Linked DNA regions of Struthio camelus. The main gene of each other region encodes a partner of the protein of the gene in region 2 in a complex. Links are inferred from orthologs where the notes say so. Each region holds a gene or a part of one and is shown on either strand. Other genes may lie near its edges.

The links.
Region 1: the proteins of CNNM2 (region 2) and PTP4A1 are in contact, whole or in part, in a crystal structure (PDB 5MMZ), measured with the Mus musculus proteins. The link is inferred for Struthio camelus from reciprocal best matches to the Homo sapiens genes CNNM2 and PTP4A1. Residues at the interface, in NP_291047.2 of Mus musculus: Phe526, Asp528, Val551, Asn553, Glu556, Gly557, Asp558, Pro559, Phe560, Tyr561; in NP_035330.1 of Mus musculus: Asp72, Gly73, Ala74, Gly107, Leu108, Gly109, Arg110, Arg137, Arg138, Gly139, Ala140, Phe141, Asn142, Lys144, Gln145.

The regions. Positions count from the first base shown.
Region 1 is NC_090944.1:37,479,044-37,489,222, reverse strand, and holds the start of PTP4A1 (protein tyrosine phosphatase type IVA 1), read right to left. Parts: upstream 4,015-10,179; 5' UTR 3,775-4,014; intron 1-3,774. UniProt on the Homo sapiens protein: Protein tyrosine phosphatase which stimulates progression from G1 into S phase during mitosis. May play a role in the development and maintenance of differentiating epithelial tissues.
Region 2 is NC_090948.1:15,441,498-15,451,793, reverse strand, and holds the start of CNNM2 (metal transporter CNNM2), read left to right. Parts: upstream 1-6,073; coding exon 6,074-7,607; intron 7,608-10,296.

The DNA.
Region 1 (10,179 bases), on a different chromosome or scaffold from region 2:
CGAGCAAGAGGAAGCCATCTTAAACTTTTTTTTTTTTTTTGCTCTTTTTTTAATTCATGCCATTCTCTCAGACAGGAATTTAAAGTATTTGTCCTCACTGACAAGTAGATTCAAACATGTTATTTCTGTGTTTGACACAGTCACTTGTATCTGGCAAAAGGCCACTTACCAAAAGAGATGTATTGCTGCCCAACATGCGGAAAGAAAAGAGGTGTAAGGTTATTACATGCTGTTGCTGTTTTGTTTCTAACGTCGTAGCATCTCAAAAAAGCATGAAAATGAAAGCGTTTGTTGACACAGTTACGTGACATTTCACTTCACCTTAGGAAGAAGGTCTGTGCGAGGTCTAATTGCCAAAATATTGACATCCAGAATCAACTATTTGGGCTCATCCTTAGTTACTGTAGTCATAGAATATAAAAGTAGAAAGCTACACTCATTTGTGAGCACTGCCAAATTGTAATGAAGTTAGAGTTCTTTGTTCTAACTTAATTTCTCCTACTATCCAAGTGACTTTCTCTCACTATCCAAAGCCTAATGGTAACTGCCAAGGCAGACAAGAAGGGGGAGGGTAAAGGGTACAAAATGTTGAGCCATTATTTATTACGGTTGAGCCCTACTGTGTAGGGGCACACCCTCATTAGATACCATTGAAAAGATTAATTTCCCACACATAAGATACGGGAATGTCTGTATGACAATATCAGCGGTGATAAAACTATGTATGTTTTAGGCCAGAGAAAGTGACCCGCAGCCTGAGGAAACATATATCACAAACAAGAGATTCTAAAGCCTACAACAAATTTGTTGTAGGCTAGTCTGTGAAGGAAGGATGTTCTTGTGGCTAAAGTATGCAGTTTAGGGGAAGAAGGGGAACGCATTATCACAAAACTTCCTGTATACTAACTGAATGCAGTTTCCACAGATGATGAAACTAAGGCCCTGTGGCCATCTCTCTAGTCCTCTTCCTCGCACCACGAAAAACCACGTGTGGACAAACAAACAAACGCTTAACAGACATCGGGGAAACAGGACATCACAGAAAGTATTCCCCTTGACTCATCTGAGGCATCCTCTTTTCAAAGTTTCTGAAAGCAAGGAGTCTCAAAATGACTTCACGTTGCTCTTAACTTCAACAGCGAGCTATATAATTCCCGTCACCTGACTCAAGACTTACTCCATTACACTTTAAGCAAGGACATAGAAAAATTAAGATATATATGCAGAGGCAGTCATTGCTGGTTTTTTATTAACTCTAATATAAAATGCTGACTGCCAAACAATGCACTGTGTTTGTGAAGAAAGATGTAAGGAGTTTTGGGTCCACCTTTAACACTTACTTGAAACAGAGTTTAATATACGTATTTTAAACAGAAGGTGACAATTTACTAGTAGTGCTGAATTCAGCAATAACCTGAACTCTCAAATCAAAGAACTTTTCAGGGTAAGTGGTCACTTTCAGCCAGCCTACACATTGGGATAGATCCAGAATTCTTACATGGCATATATTCAGTCAAAACAGGAAGGTTTCTGCAAGACAAAGGGAAGAATTTAGTCTTAGTACATGAGTTCCGTTAATTTACTGCCTTACTGACAAATTTAGCTTCACTAAGAGCAACAACAACCTTCTCTCCAGGCCTTTGCTGCATCAGCTATTCATTTTTCTTTTTCACTCTCACATTTCCTCCCATCTGCATGATTTCTGTACTGTCTCCTTGACATTTTTTTTGCAGAACAATTCTGTTCCTGTTCCTTTAAGACTTCATTTCAAAACCATTTTCCTTTCTATCAATGGAACAACAAGGGCTGACATTAAAGTGTCATCTTCAGGTTTTTACGTTTGACAGTCTAATGAGATTAAGAGGAGACGGGGTTCATACTTCTGAGTCACCGTTTTGGACTCTATGCAGATGCAGGTAGACATATTGGAAAGTTGTCTCCAGCAGCAGTAAGAAACAGAAGAATCACACAACGCCTATGCCACAAAGGCTGCATATTTTTTAAGCTTGTGATATCTGCAATATATTTAGCTGACTACCTGACAGCCACTGAGGCCTGTGCACAACTGTCACCAATCGAGCTTCTACCGTGACCATATGATAGTTACCTGATTTTGACAACTTCTTGTCTTTCTTGCTTCCCTACTTTTGGGAGTAGCTCCACCACCAATAAACATCATACTTCTTGTGTGCGCAAACTACATACTGTGTGCTAATATTAGAGAAGTTAGCCAATACAGACAGAGGGCAAGAACAAAGCAAAACACGTCAGAAAAGCAAAAATTTCTCATGTTAAACTATAATCCCTTTTCAGAAGAAAACGCTGCTCTTGAAATGACAGAAGACAAGGCCTTAAAAGCAGTTTCAGTCAGACTAAAATAGTCGGTTGGATTTATCAGCTTCTAAGGGTCAAAGGCAGACTCCTACAAAAAACATCCACTTTAACGTCTATTTAAACGACTCCCCTGCACAGTTTTCTTCCCACCAAAGAACCGTCTAAAAATCCAGTCTGAGGACAGACTACGTGCACTAGCACGGCCATGCCCGCCCCCCCCCCCAACTTCCCTGCACAAAGCTCATTCCGAAGAAGATTCGCGTAGTAAGTTACAGTTGCTTTTGATTCCCTGTGCGGATATATCGCAGACAAAGAAAGCCGTTTTGCCGTTTTCGCCCTCTCTTTGGTGGTGGTTTCCCACGTGCCTCGGCGGCGGCGGCGAGGGGGAGAAGAGGAGGAGGAGGGAGGGAGGCCGAGGCGAGCCCGCGCCACAGGCGCAGCCAGCGCCATGCCGCCAGTCGTGACTTCCCCGTGCCGCTCCCCCGCCCCTCCGCGATGATTCAGTCTCCGGCCCTCACGCTCCTTTGCGACGCCACCTGCCTGGCGGACGCCCACGGACAAGCCTCGGCTTGCCCCGCGCCCCAGCCGCTCGCCCCGCGCCACATGGCGCGGCCCGGCCGCCGAGCGCCACGTTACCGCGGGGCGCCGCACCGCGCCGCCCGCCTCCCCCGGGGACGCTGCTCTCACCCCGACGCGGCCCTCACCCTCACCCTCCCCGCCTGGGGCCCGGGCGCCGCCAGCGGCCGGGCCGGCGCCCCGGCTGCGGCGATCACGGGTTTGAATCACGCTTCGATCAGGCGCCTGACACGGAGCCATCTTGTCACTCGGAGCCGCCGCCCGGCCCCGGCTCCCCCCGACAGGGGGCTCCCGGCCCCCGCCGCCCGCCCCACCGCCGCCGCTGCCCTTGCTGAGGCGGCGGTTTGCGCCAGCGCGGCCCGAGAGCCGCCGCCAGACAGGCACCGACGGGCCGGCGGGGGGGGGGAACCAGGGCCGGCGGGCGGGGCCGGCGGCGGCCACGCTCACAAAGCGGCTTTGTGCGCGGCCCGGGCCGCTCGGCGGCGAGGGAGCCGCGGGGAGGTCACCCCCTCCTCCCGGCGAGCTAGTGCGAGTAGCAGGGGCGAGAAGGACACGCGAAAGGAGGCGAGGGAAGCCGAGGGCCGAGGCAGGGCGGGCGGAAGGTAGAGCCGCGCCGCCGCCGCGTTGGCCCCGCTGCCGTGCGGCCCGCCGGGGAGGAGCCGCAGCCCGGCGCAGCAAGAAGCCGCCCGGAGCCGGCGTGGCCCGGGCGACAGAACAAAGAGACAACATGGAGGAGACCGGGGTGGAGTGGGGGGGGGGGGGAAGAGAGGCGAGGGAACCGGAGCACGAGGGCAACCAGCGCGGCGCTCGCCGGCCGGAGGGGCCGCGCAGGGGGAGGCGGGGGCCCGCGGCGGCGGCACTCACAGGAATATGGTTACTCATTGAAGACTGTAGCCTGATCATACAGCCGGGGTGCGGGCGCCACCGCCGGGGGCAGGAGAAGCAGAACCAGGAGGATGTGGAGGCGCTGGAGGCCGCGGAGCTGCCGGAGGGGGTACGGCGGCGGCGCGAGGATGGACCATACAGCTGCAGCGGCGGCGGCGGCAGCGGACGGGCAGCTTCTGCGGGGCTGGCGCGGCGCTAACGCGGACGAGGCTGCACAAGGAGGGACCCTCGGCGCCGCCTCCTGCACAAGCGCCGCCGCACCCGCCCCTCGCTCACGCACCGCCGTGACGAGCGTCGAGCCCCGCCAATCAGAGGCGCCGAGAGAGCGTCCGGGGCGGGGCCGAGGCCGCTTCGGGGCGTGGTCTCAGCAGGCTGGGCGGGGGCGGGAGCGGGAGGGTGTCAAGAGGCGGAGGCAGCCGGCGAGAACCGGTTAGTGAATGAAGCGAGTGGCGGCGGGGCCGGGGGCTCTGCGAGGGAAGGGAGGGCGGGGCGTGGCGCGGCGCGGCGCGGCGCTGAGGGGGGGGGGCGGGGACGGTGTGGGCCGAGCAGACGGGGGGGTCGCGGGATCCGGCCAGAGGCCACCCGGCGCGGCAGCTCCGCCTCTCGCTGGCGGCCGCCGGCTGCCTCCGCGGGAAACGCCGCCGGCCCAGGCGCGGCCTCCGGCTCCCTTGGGGCAGGTTGTTCTAGACTCTTCCGCGCGCGCCCGGCGCTCAGTGGCCGGTCTGGCGCGTGCCGGGTGCGGCCGGCTCGTCCCGCCTCGGGCCCCGGCCCGGAGGGCAAGGGCGGGCCTGCCGGTGAGCGGGGCCGCGAGAAGGCGGCACGGGCAGCGCAGGGAGAGACTGTGCGAGAAGGTGTGGTGAGGGCGGGATTGCCTGAAAGCCCGCTTTCCTGTAACACTAGCGGAGGGGGTGGGGTTATTCCAGTCCTCGCACGTCAGCGTTAGGGTCCCAAGTTGACCGTTTGTGGAATACTCACAGATCTGCGTGTGTTTTAATCTCCGAGCTCCTTTATTCATGGAGGCCGAAATCTCTTCTGCAGCGTTAATGCTAATAGGAAGCTCTTGGCATTTTCTGCCTGCAGACCATTCTGTACTTTAAAATCATAATTTCTGTTTTAATAGATGGGAAATCTGCCCAGCAGGCCAGAAGTAGTGAAGGAAACAGAATAAGGACTTTCTCAGCCCTGTGGTCTCACTCCTAGAAAACAGTCTCTCAGGAGGCAGGCAGGCAGGCGTTACTGAAAGGCAGAGGTATAGATGAAATCTGACTAGGAAACCCTTAGAGCACCAGTCGTGTTCAACTGGTAGAGGAATGGGAGTCAATCCCCAGTTGAACACCGTGACCTGGGAGAAACCTTAATCTGGGTCAGCGCTATCTATAAAATGTTGCACTATTTTTAGCTTTGGTTAGTCTGATACCGTTCTAGTTTATTTAACTAGTTCTAGTTTATTTAGGCCTTTCTTCTGTTTAACATTGTTAGTATACAGATTATAAATCTCAGAGTCTGCAGAAGTTGTTTTTGATCGAAGAAAATGATTCAGTTGTAAGTCTCAGCAGTTTGTGTTGGCTTGTACGAGGGCATAGCTGGTTTGCGTTTTTGCCTAAATTTTCTCTCTTTTTTTTGTTTTTTGTATAACCTCCAGAAATCATGGTTCGTACAGAAGAGATTTTCTTGTTATCAAGTATGCAAGACGTGTCATTCAGAGTCTGTCTGTATTTGCTCCTGCAGGCACTTGTGTTTTCACTTCCCCTGGGTTCAGACTGGATTGGCATAGGCTAATTTCTGTCTGGGAGCCATGCTTCTACTAAGCTAAAATGCTGTTTGTCTCTTGGCTATAAATACACCTGAAGTGCTTTTGCATTTACTTACATTTGCATTTTGTATTTACTGGTGGACTGAGGGCACCCATCTGGTGAACTTGTAGCTACTTGCACTCCCCTGTGTAAAACTTCCTAAAAAATGTTCTTCAAAGTCCTATAAAATAATAAAATGATCCCAAAATTACTGGCTGCTTAAAGTATTGCTTATTTATTGGTGGGTGCAATGCTGGGAAGATTCCTGGAGAGAAAGTGGGCACAATTTATTAAACCGACTCTTTATCTGCATAGTCAAATGAATAGTTATGACAAGGAAACTAGTGAACTGGTGAAACAGAGTGGATTGAGAAGTCAGAAAGGAACAGAAAAAAAAAAGGGATGACTCCTGAAGGGCTTCAAAGATGAGGACAAGAAATTCCTGTAAAGAAAAACTGGTGCGGAGAATTCAGTAGAGACTGATACGATCAAGATGGGAGGCAAAGAAAGCAGTCAGTTGTTAAAGAAGATTAATATAACTTTTAATGTAAGAGGTCATAGGAGGACAAAGTTTGAATATTTTTTGGAAGCACTCGAGTCAAAAATAAAATCTGGACATAGCCTGAATTGTCAGTAGTTCCAAGTGTTGATCTAGTTGACTCTGCATGATCAATATTTTCTGAAAGTTGTATAAGAAGTTGTGTACTAAACCAGTCAGTCTACAGAATGCTGAAGTTGCAAAAATCAAAATGGTGATACTTTATGCCAGAATTACTTCCTTTTGCTTTATAAAAGCTGCTGCTTCATAATCTCTGATAATTTTATGTCATCTCGTTCTCAGAAATCCAATACTGATAAACATTCCAAATTCACTTTCTTTATATAACAGAGTATATACTCTATATACGTTGCAAGACACTTTTGTCAAGATGAGGAATCCTGATCTATAATTAATCTCTCTGTGTAAGGAAGCCAGTTCTTTCTTCTGATCATCTTTTCATCTTTGCCAACCTTGTCTGTACTTAAAAAAAAGAAAAAGAAAAGAAAAAAGAAAAAGTTATATTCCTATTTTTTTAAATAGGCCAGAAAAGAAATAGTTTCCAATGTGCAAATCACACAGTGTCCATGTATTAATTTGGAATGATTTGCATTACTTTACCTAGCACATGTGTTCTGGTTTGAGAATGCTGCTGCTATGGGATTTGTGAAAATTACATATTTCAAGCATTTTAAAGTTTATGTATCACCTAATATTACTCATAGACTAAGTAATATATTACTCCAAGACATAAGTAAAAATACTTATTTTTTAATGTGTTTGTCTTTTGCAGATAGTTACTTTTCTAGATAGAAAGCAATTGTCCTTGCGATTTCATATATCTTCATATCCTAACAGGAGGGGAAAAAAGGAAAATATGATTGCTTATTGGGAAGAGAAATCAGGAGCAATTGAAACTGCTTGTCCTTTCTTTGCATCAGTATTAGTTGCATATGGTTTAAAGTTTGCCTGAACTTTTACCTGAACTAATCCTAGGTTGAATTTGAATGAAATTGGAGGCATTTTGTATAGACATTGATGTGCCTATTACTAGGTTATCTGTATGAAATGAATTTATACACTTCAGGGTCTTTGACTTGCGGATATTAACTGTAACTTCTTCTGATGAAATTCCAGAAGACTGTATCTATGTTAATGTTACGCCAATGTTTAAAAGAGTTAAGTGGGTTGACTTTGAACTGGTTAGACTGGCATCTAATAGAAAACTGATATGTGACTAAGCTAATTACAATAAAAAAAGAATTAAAGGATAAGAACATAATTAATGCAAATCAATATAGTTCTAGGGAAAATAGCTACTGTTAAACAAAGCTGACTTAATGCTTTGATAAGATTACAAGAATGGTATAAACGTAACTGCGTAACTGTAACGCTTTTGTAAGTATTTTATTTGGTACCAAGTGACATTACGCTCCAGAAGAAATAGTGTTATGCTGTCAAAATAGCTCTAGAGCACGCATTCAGTGGGGGCAGAACTTTCTGACTGAACGATCTCAGAGTAATGTTGGTAAGTGATCCTTGCTGAACGACACTGTTCTGCAGGAATCAACATTCGTGCTTTCAGACATTTTTGTCAAAGGAGTATAATCAAAGATCACTGAAAATAAAATTTGTTACTGATACAAAGACTGATGGAATAGCAAGTAACAATAACAACGAAGTAGTTATACAGAGAAATCTAGCTTGTTTAATAACTTGTGTTTACTCAAAAATGTGTTTAAGTGCAGCCCCAAGCAGGAAATACAAAGCTAGAATTATAGGTTTTTAAAGAATGCTTCTGTTACTTTGAAGAAAGTCCAGGGATCGTAATGGACAAGTAAGTAAATATGCGCTCCCAGGACACTGGTATAACAGTAAAAATGCTAATGTGATCCTTAGGTATATAACTGGAAATAATGAGAAGGAGTAGAGAGATTTTATTTTTGAACAGCATTGATACCGAATATTGAAATAATATATGCAGTTCTGTTATCCATAGACCTCTTAGATTGCCTTATTTTCTGATATAAAAAACCAATGTGTGTGGAGCCTGTGTTGTGGCATTTTGCCATGTACCCTATTACCAGCCCCTTCCTTTACCCCTATCCCTACAACCCTTATCCATTTTTCTCCTCCCCCCTCAGCTTCGATTCAGTGGCATGGGCTCCCTCAGATTGCGTGTCCTGGATACCCGGCATTCAGGCTAATGGGGTGGAGAAGACTGCAGGAGAACGTGAGCAGAAGTCGGTTGTGTGTGTAGTACTTGTGTTTGAGATGTGACAGATCCACAGCCATCTTTTAAAAAGAGATTGGCTTATTGGTTAGAATGCAGAGTTGCGAAAAATATTTGAAGACTGGAGAAAACGCAGAAAATGGCCACGTTATGAGTTAGAGCCCTCTACTGCTTGTCTGTAGCACCTGAGGAACATTATTCTAGTGGAAGACTGATGGAACTGTGCTGTATCTTGCCCTCTTCTTTCCTCTCTTTGTGGAGGTAGTGTTGGCTCACGCTAATGCCTCAGATCTGCTAGCTTACTGCTAGAAGGGAGCACCTTTCTGTTGTGCAAATTTCTCTGCTGATGTATTACAGATATATTTGATGTATTTGTGTTTTTGAGTGGAATAAAGGCGTTGGAGCATGATGCAGAATTTAGCCTGTTGTAGAAAGTAAGCACGTTTTTTCCCTGTGTTACTTTAGCACGTGATCAAAACTGAAAGACTTTACAATTAATTCTTCATATTTGTTTGATTTCATTGTCTATACATGTTTATAAAAATTTTGTGAATTGATTGTCAGGATTTTTAGCATAGATCTCTTGGCTTATTAATGTCGATGGGCTCTTCATAGATAAAGTGATACATGCTAAAGGATTCCAGTGTAGGATCATGGTCTTTTCTACATCTTGTCCATATGCTTTAATGAGAATAAAGATAAGATAATAAGAGCTATTTTCCATTTTCAGCTCCTAAAACTGCTCTTACTATGAGAATGGAAGGCCATTTCAATTTCTTTGTGGAACTCGGGTAATATGCTTCATTTGTGATCTGGTTAGAGGGAGTGCAAAAGTACTATTGATACTTCATAAATACAAAGAAACATTCTGCAGCTCCTTTTCAACTATTTATTTGGAAAATTCATTGAACTTTCAGTCCTCGTGTAGCTTCTATTTATTCATTGAAATTACTGTCTCTGGAATTGAGTTTATGTTCAGCACGTGTTAAAACATTGGAGAGCTCCTAAAGAAGGACTTTTCGTGACTGAAGAAGTAATGCTATTTCACGGCATGATCTCCTAAAACCAGATGTGCATGCTGTACAGGAGTTGTCAACAGCCAATCAACAGATTTAACGTTCATGGTTGGCACTTAGCCAACAGATAATCCAGCTAGATGGTGATTTAAGCGATATTGTAGAAGTGATCGTAACGATGAACATTCTCAAAAAATTTTCTAAGATATTGCACGCAAGTAGGTTTTCTGTTGGTATGCACTTTTAAAATGTATGTAATGTATGTTCCTATTGAAGCAGGTGCACCTTATACATGGTCAAAGCCGGGAACTGCTGATTTTCACTGCACCCTTTTCTAGAACGTTGCAGTGGCATGATATTTTGGATATATCACAGTGTTTATTTCTGTTCTAGCTTACAGTCTGGGAATATTTTCCGAGGACTGATTTGGGGGTGAATCAGTGTCTGACCATAGGGACCACAAACAGCACCTTTGCCGTTACTAGTGCCTTCCATGTTTACTGGGACTATGTGGGATGCTGTTGGGTAAAGAGCCTATACAGCTGCTGTTGCAAAACTGATACCTAATTCTCATTTTCTATTACTGTCTCTCACCAATGCCACCCGTCAAGGCTACTAAGCTAGTACTTCAATAGCAATCTTTGGCATTTTAACTGCAGTTACAGGGCCCTGTATCTAGGCCTCAAAGTCATTCCTTTTTGAAAAGTTACTTTGAAGGAGTTTGAAAATTCATTTGTATTTTTGGGCTAAAATGTTGACCATAGATTATATTGCCTTGTGGTATTAGTGCTGCGGCCAGCACTA
Region 2 (10,296 bases):
GCGGCTGCCAGAGAGCCAAGGGGACACGGCCCCAGTGCTGTGTGGCTTTTGCTGGAGAGCAAATAAATGCCTGAGCTCGCAAGCTGCGTACTCATAGGGGTCTTCGCCTGCTGTGGTTTTGCATTTCGGCACAAACGGGCCGGGGACGGGTGGCGGTGAGGATGGGAAGCCGTCCCGCGGTGTCCCCTCGCTGCGGGGGCTCGCAGCAGCCACGGCCCCTTGCTGTGACTCGCAGGCAGGGCCGGTCTCTGTGGGAAATGCTGCCGCGGGTCCCCTCGCGTGGGACTTGCCTCTGCCTTGCCCAGCCTCCTGCCCCCGGAGGGTGCAAAGCTGGCCACCCCGGGGCGCCTGCCTCTGGCACGAGGGACGGGGACGGTTGCAGGTCCAGCTGTCAGATGCGACATTTCCCTGGCCCTGGGGAGGTTGGAGGGGCCAGTGCATCAGCCCTGCCCGTGGCTCTCTGGGGAGCAATCATCTGAGCTGAGCCCCAAATAATCTGTGCTGGCACCAGGGCTGGAGGGCAGCGAGTGGGGCTGGAGCTGAGCTGAGCGCGGCTGGGCCTGGATGGGCGCTGTCATGATGCATGCAGCACCGGGCTGTGTCCCCGGCTGTCATCCGCTGACGGTGCTGCGGAAAGCCTGGCTGCACCGACCAAAGCCTGCAGATCTGCCAGGGAGCAGCAAGGGGCAAGTCGGAGCTTGGCTCTGCCCTGGGGGCTGGGGAGGGGGGCCTGGCTCTGCCACAAACCTGCAGCAAGACTGCTCTGCTCGGTGGCTTGCTGCAGCCAGCGTGGAAGCAGCCCATGGCTGCTGGGGTACTTGCAGTGGCCTCATCGCGTGGCTCAGGGTCTGGCAGACTGGACAGGGGTTTGGCAGCAGCTGTGTGCATTTATGAAGGCCAAGGAGCAGGGCAGAGACATTTGCAGAAGGCAACTTAGCAGAGGCAGATGTGAAAGGAGCTGCACAGGGACTACCCTGTGGCCTGCACCCACTGTGCCTGGTCTAGCTGCAGCTTGAGGTCTTTGGGAGCCCACAGCCAAGAAGCAAATTTTTCTGAGAAGCAAAAGTCAGAGCATTAAGCAGCCACATTGCCCTTCCTTGTTCTGAACTCACTCTCCACACGCAGGGAGCCCTGAGCATCTGCAGGGCAAAGCCTACGCAAGGTGTAGCGGTCCTCACCTGCACAGCACAGGAGGTGTAATCAGCATCTCATATATAAAGCTGAAAATGAGCATCTCCCCGTGGCTGTTGGAGAAAAGGGCCAGTCACCTCTCGGGAGCTCAGCTAGGCCTGCTTTTCCATGGCAAACTCAAGGCAGAGCATGAGGCCCACAGGGCTGTCACCCTTATTTGCACTCAGGGCAGGAGACACCCCAGTTAGTGCCTGCAGCAGCTAGGCTTTGGCTGAGCTCGACATGCCTTCTATGAACGCTGTCTCGATTTCATTTTCTAAAGCTGAGCTTCTTAGCCAGAGGGTAATCCTGCTCCAGGAGGTGGGAATTTTTCTCCCTTTCCTTGTGCAGCACTGCTGCTGTTTATATTTTCCCCCGGACTCCATCTAGCGGAAAAGCCCTGAGCAGATTTTGCAGGGAAATCTGGAGGTCCCGGCTGGCCAGGTCCCAGAGAGGCTGAGGAGTAGAAGGCATCAAGGCTGCGATCAGAGGAGATGGGCTGAGCTCCTCTCGGCCCCGATGGGAGGCTCGCGAGATGCTCGGTGCGTGGGAAGGGAAAAGTGGGCAGCATCAGGAGCTGTCGGTGCAGGAGGTGCCAGGCCGCCAACCGGCCTTGCTGCCACAGTGCAGCTCAGCACCTTGCCTCCAGCTGCCAAGCAGCGGGCACGGCACGCTGAGGGGCGCCTGGACTGCCACAGGCACAAAGTAGCTTTCAGGACAGGGTTCCTACATGAAGAAACTGTGTGAGGAGCAGTGGTTGAGGAGAAAGATCGGGCAAAGCCCTTTTGCCCCTGTCCAGTGAGGGAGAAGGGGAGGAGGGGGCATCTCCCAACCCCGGAGAGCTAAACCAGCTCTGAGGCTGACAGAGTGCAGGTAAACACGACCCCCAGGGTTGTCTGAGCCCTTGGGTAAGCAGCTGAGATTAGAAACAAGGATTTGGAGACCCCTTCGAATCACAGACGGTGGGGCCAGATGGGGCCATGCCATCCACCTGCCACAGTCAAGGTCTTGCTGCGCCATCCCAGGCAGCTGCTCCCCCAACCCACTCTCCAGCCCCCTGCAGTGGCGTCTCCACCCTTCCTCACTCAGTGATTTTCCGTGTGCTGCTCTGGGTTTGACTGAAATCACTCTCTTTGCCGTTTAAACAGCATCTCGCATCCCCATCACACTGTGCAAGCGCACAAAGAGTTATGCTAGCAGTTTTTTTACAGATGATGATAAAAACTTCTACGATGACAAGGGACAGGGGAGCCCATGGTGCTATATAATAAAGAAGCATTTCACAGCACCCTCTGAAAGATGGGTCATTCACAAGTGCTTCCAGGTTAAAATACTGAAGCTAGTAAAGCTGAAGACAGCATCACGGTGGCCATCCAACCTGTCCCATCAACCTCCCTGTGAAGGGGCCTGAGCACTAAGGCGCGATGCTCGCTTGAGGGCACCAAGGCGCGACGCTCGCTTGGCGTGGTCCCTGTGGCCTCCTCCTTGTACAAAAGGAGTTAATCGCTGACCTAAAAATTAACAGTTGCCTGGTACTGGGGATCATGATCTGATTACGTTTGCTTTGCATAAACAGCTTATGGTGCCAATCAGTGATACGTATACTGAAACCTTCATGGGGGCCTGCTTCCCCAACCTGCAGGCCACTGTCTGCACAACTGAACAAGAGCGAAAGCTGAAATTTGGCTGTGTTAGCAAAGACAAAGGGATTTGTGTTAGCAAAGGGAATTGTTTGAAGTCTTGCTATGATGTATCCTCAAAACACAGAGTTCAACACATGCATAATTTTGCATCAGGCAAAAAAGGCTATCAAAGAAGATGCTAAAGAAGCAGTACAATGTAAAACAAAATCACTTTATAGAGAATCATGGCATGGGAAAAGATAAAGAGCAAATAATAAAAGATTCAGGTTCGAAAAGAAACACGGGCAAGTGCCAAGGATGCTCTAAGGTAGCTTGGCTGAGGCAGGTCCCAGCGGTAAGGAGGCATTTCCAGAACACCTGAATTGGAAAGCATAAGCGGTCAGGTAAAGACCGACTGCAGCACAGGGATGGGCAATTCAGACACTGGCATAACAGGCTGCAATGTTCAGCAGCTGCTCTTGTTCTGTATTGGAAACCAAGTTGGAGAATCCATCATTTTGGATAATGTAGATGGAAAAGAAAGTTTGCCATCTATCCCAAGGCCTTTTCTACCCAGAGAAGAAGCTTTTAGGTCACTGGTAAATGTGACTCCCAGGCAGGAGCCACACCACAACAAGGAGCACTCGCTGGGCCTCTCGTATTAACTCTTGACAAAACTTGGACCACTACAAAATATGAGGATTGTAAAAATAATTCCAAGATTTAAAAAGGATTTTCTAAGTGCCCCAGACTGCTTAACCTGACCTCCGCCATGAGCAAAATAGGGGAATGATTAATTCACTATTTAGGGATTAAACATATAAATAATGTCCATAAACATAGTTTCCTGGAAAGTCGCCTTGCCAACCTATCCTTCGGGTTTTGGAGGAGACTATGAGTCTGACGATTTGGTTTACAAAACATGTCCAAGGTGTTTTGGACTTAGAGCTATATAGTACCATAAGACATTCCTGGTTAGGGGGACGTGGACTTTCTGGGATGAGACACTAGCTAGTTCTATTCTACACACACTGATTTATGTGCTGCTAATGCAGCCAAGGCATTGTTTAATTTGCCCTGGTATATCCCGCTTTCACTATTACTTACAAAGTCTTTCATAAAGTCCCCAAACAGCCCGTCCTGGGAGGCTGGCGGCAATTAACTCTTGTTATCAAAGAGAGTCTTCCCAGCACGAATGAAAGAGCAGATGGGGCGGGGGGGGGGGGCTCCTACCTGCAAAATCCTTCATTAAAAAGGCATGAGTCCCTGCCGGAGCTTTTCAGCTTTCCTGAGGAAAGAGGCACCCACTGCCGGTCCAGCAGCGAGACCTCCTCTCTGACATGCATATGTAAAAAGGCCACAGCTAAATGCCACTGTATTTGCATAGCACTATTTTCTGCAAATTCTCAGCATTTTGGGGAGGAATGGGAAGAAGCAGCTGAGAGAACTTTTCCTAGCTCTTGGCTTTAGTTCTGAGCCTTAGAAGTCCTCACCTGGATGCAGAAGTGTGGCTGTCTCGTCACCCTCGCTTTGCTTGCACATGCACGACCTGCCCTTGGTGGGGTTTAGACCCCCTCAAGCCACGAAAAAGTCATGAAAGAGGTGATCCTGCAGCCCCATCCTGCACGAAACCCCCCAACAATTTGTCCGGACTACCGCCCCCTCCCAGCCTCTCCCTGCTGCCCTCCTGTGGCCTCGCACATGGGGAAGGTGGTCCAGGCGGCCTCGGTGACCAGCGTGTTTTTGTGGCTGCAGAGATGAGCCAAACTCCTTTCCCTTCCCAGCGTGAAGCGCTCGAGGATCGGTGTCCCTCCCCGCCGCCCGGCACGCGCCTGGGCCATCCGGCGTCGGGCCATGGGCAGGCAGGATGCCCTGATGGCAGGGCATGCCTGATGATACCGTGTTTTGATTTTTGCCTTGGCCGGACGTGCTGAGAAAGGGACGCCGGGGAAGAGGCAGCTGGGAAAGTCCGGGACAAGGAAAACCTCGCGGTCGAGGCCGCCGGAGGCGCGTGCCCCCCCGGCGCGTCTCGTTGTCCTGGGCGAGCCTCTCCTCGCCTCGTGCTTCAGTTGCCCGAGCGCTGGCGCGGAGAGGAGGCTATTTCACCTCCTCCAAAAGAAGAAGGGCCGCTGTGAAACCGAACTGGGGTGCCCCGGGTTTCTCGCGGCTGCCAGTCTGGGCTGCCGAGCTGCGTGTCCGGGCCGGGTCCCGTCGGTGGCTCGTGGACGCGGCGCGTTTGCTGCCCGTAAGGCGCTGGTCTCTCCCCTGAATTGGGGCCCATCAGCGCCTGGCACATGCAGGTACTAAGGTGCGCGGGGAGCACGGGGAGGCGCTGAGCCTCCCTGCCCGGGCTGCGGGAGCCGCTGCCGTGTTTGGTACCTGCCGCCCTCTGGCTTGGTCTCATTGGCGGCGGCCGGCGGTACCGGCGGCGAGCCCGGGCCCCGCTGGCACCGGGCGACGCGGCTGAGCGAGCGCCCGGCCGGCGGGGCCGCCACGGCGGGAGGCGCGGGGGGGGGGGGGCGGGCCCGGCGGGGCGGCTCGCTTTTCGGTAACGCCACAGAGGAGCTTCCGAAGCGCCGGGCCGGGCGGGGCCGCCAGGGGGCGCCGCGCCACCGCCGACCGGGCCGCGGCGGGATGCGGGCAGCGCGCGGGGGGCGGCGAGGCCTGGGCGGGGGCAGCGGCCCCCGGGTGGAGCCCCGGCCCGGCCCGGCCCGGCCCGGCCCGGCCCGCGGCGGCGCAGCGCCCCGGGCCGCCCCGCCGAGCGCGGCACGCGCCGGCCCCGGCTCGCCGGCAGCGCCTCTCCCTCATTGGTCGCGCCCCTCTGAGTCTCCGCCCCGCCGGCCGCCAGCCGCGCTGCTATTGGCCGGCGGCGCGCGGCTGGCCCCGCCCCCGCCCGCCTGGCGTACACACCGGAGTCACGCGCCCCCTGGGTTGGGGACGCAGCCGGGGCGGGCGGGGCGGGGCCGGCGCGGCATTGGCGGAGGGCTGAGCGCCTGGCCCCGCCCCCGCGGCGCCGCGCGGGCGCTGATTGGCGGCGCGCGCCGCCGGCCCCGCCTCCGCGAGGCGGGCGGGGGAGGGGCGGCGAGGGCAGGGGCTTGAGGCGGCGCTCGGCTCGGCCCGGCCCGGCAGTCGCCGCCTGTCGGGTCCCGCGGGCTAGCCGTGCCCGCCGCCTCGCCCGCCGCGCCTGCCCGCCCGCCACCGCCGCCGCCGGAGGAGCCGGGGCACGCCGCAGGCGCCGCGCGGCGATGCGGGGCCGCGGCGGCGCCGAGCCCTGACTAAAGATGGCCGCGCTGCCCGGTGGGAACATGGCGGGGGGCGGCCGGGGGGCGCGGGTGGTGCTGCTGCTGCTGCTCGGCGCCTGCCTGGGCCAACGGCCGCCGGCCTCCGCCGCCGCCTCGGCGGCGGAGGAGGAGACGGTGATCATCGGCCTGCGGCTGGAGGACACGGACGACGTCTCCTTCATGGAGGGGGGCGCGCTGCGGGTGAGCGAGCGGACGCGGGTGAAGCTGCGGGTCTACGGGCAGAACATCAACAACGAGACGTGGTCGCGCATCGCCTTCACGGAGCACGAGCGGCGGCGCGGCGGGCGGGCGGCGGCGGGGGCGGCGGCGGGGCGCGGCGGCGGGGGGCCGGGCGGCGGCGGCGCCCCGCAGCGCTGCGGCATCCGCACCTCGGACATCATCATCCTGCCGCACATCGTGCTCAACCGCCGCACCTCGGGCATCATCGAGATCGAGATCAAGCCCCTGCGCAAGACGGAGAAGAGCAAGTCCTACTACCTGTGCACCTCGGTGTCGGCCCCTGCCGCCGCCGCCCTGGGGCCCGGGGCCGCCGGCGGGCTGGCGGGAGCCGAGGGGCCGGCCGGACCCCCGCCCTGGGGTGAGACCACCTGGATCTACCACGACGGTGAGGACACCAAGATGATCGTGGGTGAGGAGAAGAAGTTCCTGCTGCCCTTCTGGCTGCAGGTGATCTTCATCTCGCTCCTGCTCTGCCTCTCGGGCATGTTCAGCGGCCTCAACCTGGGCCTCATGGCCCTGGACCCCATGGAACTGCGCATCGTGCAAAACTGTGGCACGGACAAAGAGAAGAACTACGCCAAGCGCATCGAGCCCGTGCGCCGCCAGGGCAACTACCTGCTCTGCTCCCTCTTGCTGGGCAACGTCCTGGTCAACACCACGCTTACCATCCTGCTGGACGACATTGCCGGCTCCGGGCTGGTGGCCGTGGTGGTCTCCACCATCGGTATCGTCATCTTCGGCGAGATCGTGCCGCAGGCCATTTGCTCTCGGCACGGCCTGGCCGTGGGCGCCAACACCATCTTCCTCACCAAGTTTTTCATGATGATGACCTTCCCGGCCTCCTACCCAGTCAGCAAGCTGCTGGACTGTGTCCTGGGCCAGGAGATCGGCACGGTCTATAACCGTGAGAAGTTGTTGGAGATGCTGCGGGTCACCGACCCTTATAATGACCTAGTCAAAGAGGAGCTCAACATTATCCAAGGAGCTCTGGAGCTGCGCACCAAGACAGTGGAGGATGTGATGACTCCACTCCGAGACTGCTTCATGATAGCTGCTGAGGCTGTGCTCGACTTCAACACTATGTCTGAGATCATGGAGAGCGGTTATACCCGCATCCCTGTTTTTGAGGGTGACCGCTCCAACATTGTGGACCTGCTCTTTGTTAAGGACCTGGCTTTCGTGGACCCTGATGACTGCACTCCGCTCAAGACCATCACCCGATTCTACAACCATCCGCTGCACTTTGTCTTCAATGACACCAAGCTTGATGCCATGCTGGAGGAGTTCAAGAAAGGTGGGACATGCCTGTCACAGGGGCGTAGGGGGGAGGTCGGGGTCAGTAGGTATCAGCATCCACCTTCGTACTATGAGCTGGCCTGGGGGATAAGAGGGCTCTCCAGGTACTCCTCTCCGTTTGCTGTTCCCAGAGGGGTTTGGGAAGGTGCACTCGGTACAGAGAGTGGCCTCTATTTAGGCACCTGTCACATCTGCCAGTTACCTGCCTCAGAAAGCTGGTGTGTGGCTGCTAGGTGATATGTGCCCCCTTCCTCTTTTTCCCACTGTTTTTGGGGGGGAGGTCTGTGGGCATAGTGCCAAGCAAGTTTCCCCCCTGCCCCATCCACCCAGTACAGTGGGAACTGCTGGTGTGAATCTGTGCTTGTTACTTGGCAGTGTCTTCTCTGTGCTCTTTCAGCTGGCCTGACAGTAAGGAGTGGGTGGGCTGCTCATGTAGCTCACTCATATCTTTCAGGCTTAGTGTGTACACACGTGCTGAGATAAACAAGGCTTTTAAACTCCATTCATAGGCTCAGCTGGGCGATTTCCATTCCCTGCTTGTGTTCCAACTGTTTTGATTGATGTTTTGATCTTGTAGCTTGTAAGTAGTTTCAGGGTGCTTTTCATGCATGAGCCTTAAAATATATTTGAACATGCTTGTTAGGGGTACGCTTCAGTGTTACAGACCTCTTCACCTAGGCTTCCCTCTGCCCCGATAATCGGAGACTGAGCTGCGTGAAGACATGATCCTTTTTACCTCTCGCTGGCATAGCATGCGTATTAGTTGCATCAGAACAGGACTGAAGCTTTCCGACCTCATCTTAATTGTAGGAGATACTGACCTGACAAGTGCATCTTAGTTCCTGTTATAAGCCTTTGTGAGAAAGGACAAGTTTTCTTTTAATCTATTCTTCCGTTCAAGCCAAGTAATAGCGCAGGCTGTTTATCCTGGGCAGGAAAGCACTCTCCAAGAAATAGCAAATGAAACTTCAGATGGATAGGATATTTTTGGACTGCTGTACTGGAAAACTGAAGGTAATGTGAGCGCCATAGAGTTGATCATACCCTGGGAGTTCTGATCAAAGTACTACTGAACAGTTCAGTCCTGGGAGATAACCTGACTGAAAAAGGAGATCTTTATAGCTGCGTTGACACCACAGCGAGGCTAATAAGGAATATTTGAGTTAACCTTTTATCAGCTGCAAAAGTTATCTCCAGAAGAACTTTGTAAGTTGCGCTTATGGTCCTTCTAGGTAATAAACTCTGCCATTTGAATGTCCGTGTACTGTTTGATCCACACGCTGAGCTCTGACGGCATGGCATTTGGTCTGTTTCTTCTTGGTTTAACACTATTTCTGTGATTTAAGGGATTATTCCATTGGTTTCATGATCTGTATTTCATCTTCACAGATAAAAGCAAACATGCTCCTACTTTTTACTGACTAGACTAGAACAGCAAGTGTTTTGTTTTAACCCTTTCTACCTTTGGGTAGAGAAGGGGAATTCTTATTCAGGTTCAGAGCTATTGAACGAGAGATGAGACAGCGCCTAATCTATGGTCTGTATGCTACAGAATCTGCGGCTCGGGTCTGAAACTAAGTTAATGTCACTCTAACTGTTGGCTACTTAAGGTAATTTTTGCCACGTATGCGGGCATAGCATTTTTCTTTCCCCTCTGCCCCTGCCTCCTCCTCGTTCTTCTGACTCGAGAAGATAACATGTCTGGGTAGTTTCTCTCTACCTAAGTTTGTAGTTTTCTTGTTTTGTTTGTAGCAATATGTCTGAAGGAATGGAAACTGTTGGATGCTTTATTTCCCCTATCTGAAGGAGATGAAACACAGCCCTGTGTGTTAACACAGGAGTCCTTTTTATTTAATTGCAGGGAGAACTAGGTATTCATTTTAATCCTGCATGTGTGGCTGAGTCAAATATTGCTTCTAACAATTTTTGAAGCTTGTGCTTAAAATGGGCTTCATAATTTCTTCTGGGTCGCTTGGAAGGTACAAACAGGAGATCACTTTCCCCGGTAGCTGGAGGATTTCCCTTGCTTGCACAAGAAACGTCCCATTAGCACAAGCCTAGGATAACTTCCTCATGTGTGTGTTCCCTCCTGAGGTCACTTTTCTTTCTGGAATAGTCTATGTGGTAGTGAATTAATTCAGGATAGTTTGGTCATACTTACGTATTACTCCAGAATAGCTGTGCTGGATGACTTGTATTGACAAGCCCCAATGGTAGGACCAGTTTTGTACTAACTAGTTTCTCTTTAAAAGTACAGATATGATGGAAATAAATGCCTTCCTTTGTGTCTGTTGAAGTGAATGTAAATAACCGATAGCTTGCTTGATCTGGCATAGCACAGTGTCTTTTGCAAGAGGTCTTCAAACTTTCTTCTTTCGAGCCATCTTGCCAAATTCCCATGAGAATGTATAAATTAAGGGGGAGACTTGAATTGTGTGTTGCTCTCTAGTACAGTATTGAAAATAAACAAACTTACTGTTTCTAACCATTCTCTTACCACCACATTGGTCTTCCACCACAGCAGACTTGCTCGACAAGCCCTGCGCGTGTGTGTTCCCCGACCTGGCTCCCCACCGCTGCTGTTCAGTGCAGTGGGCAGCTAGTGTCACAGTGCTGCTGTCAATTGAACAGTTTAATTGGCTTAAAGAAAGAGGCCTATTCTCTGAGAAGTGTAGTAATTAGCTGGA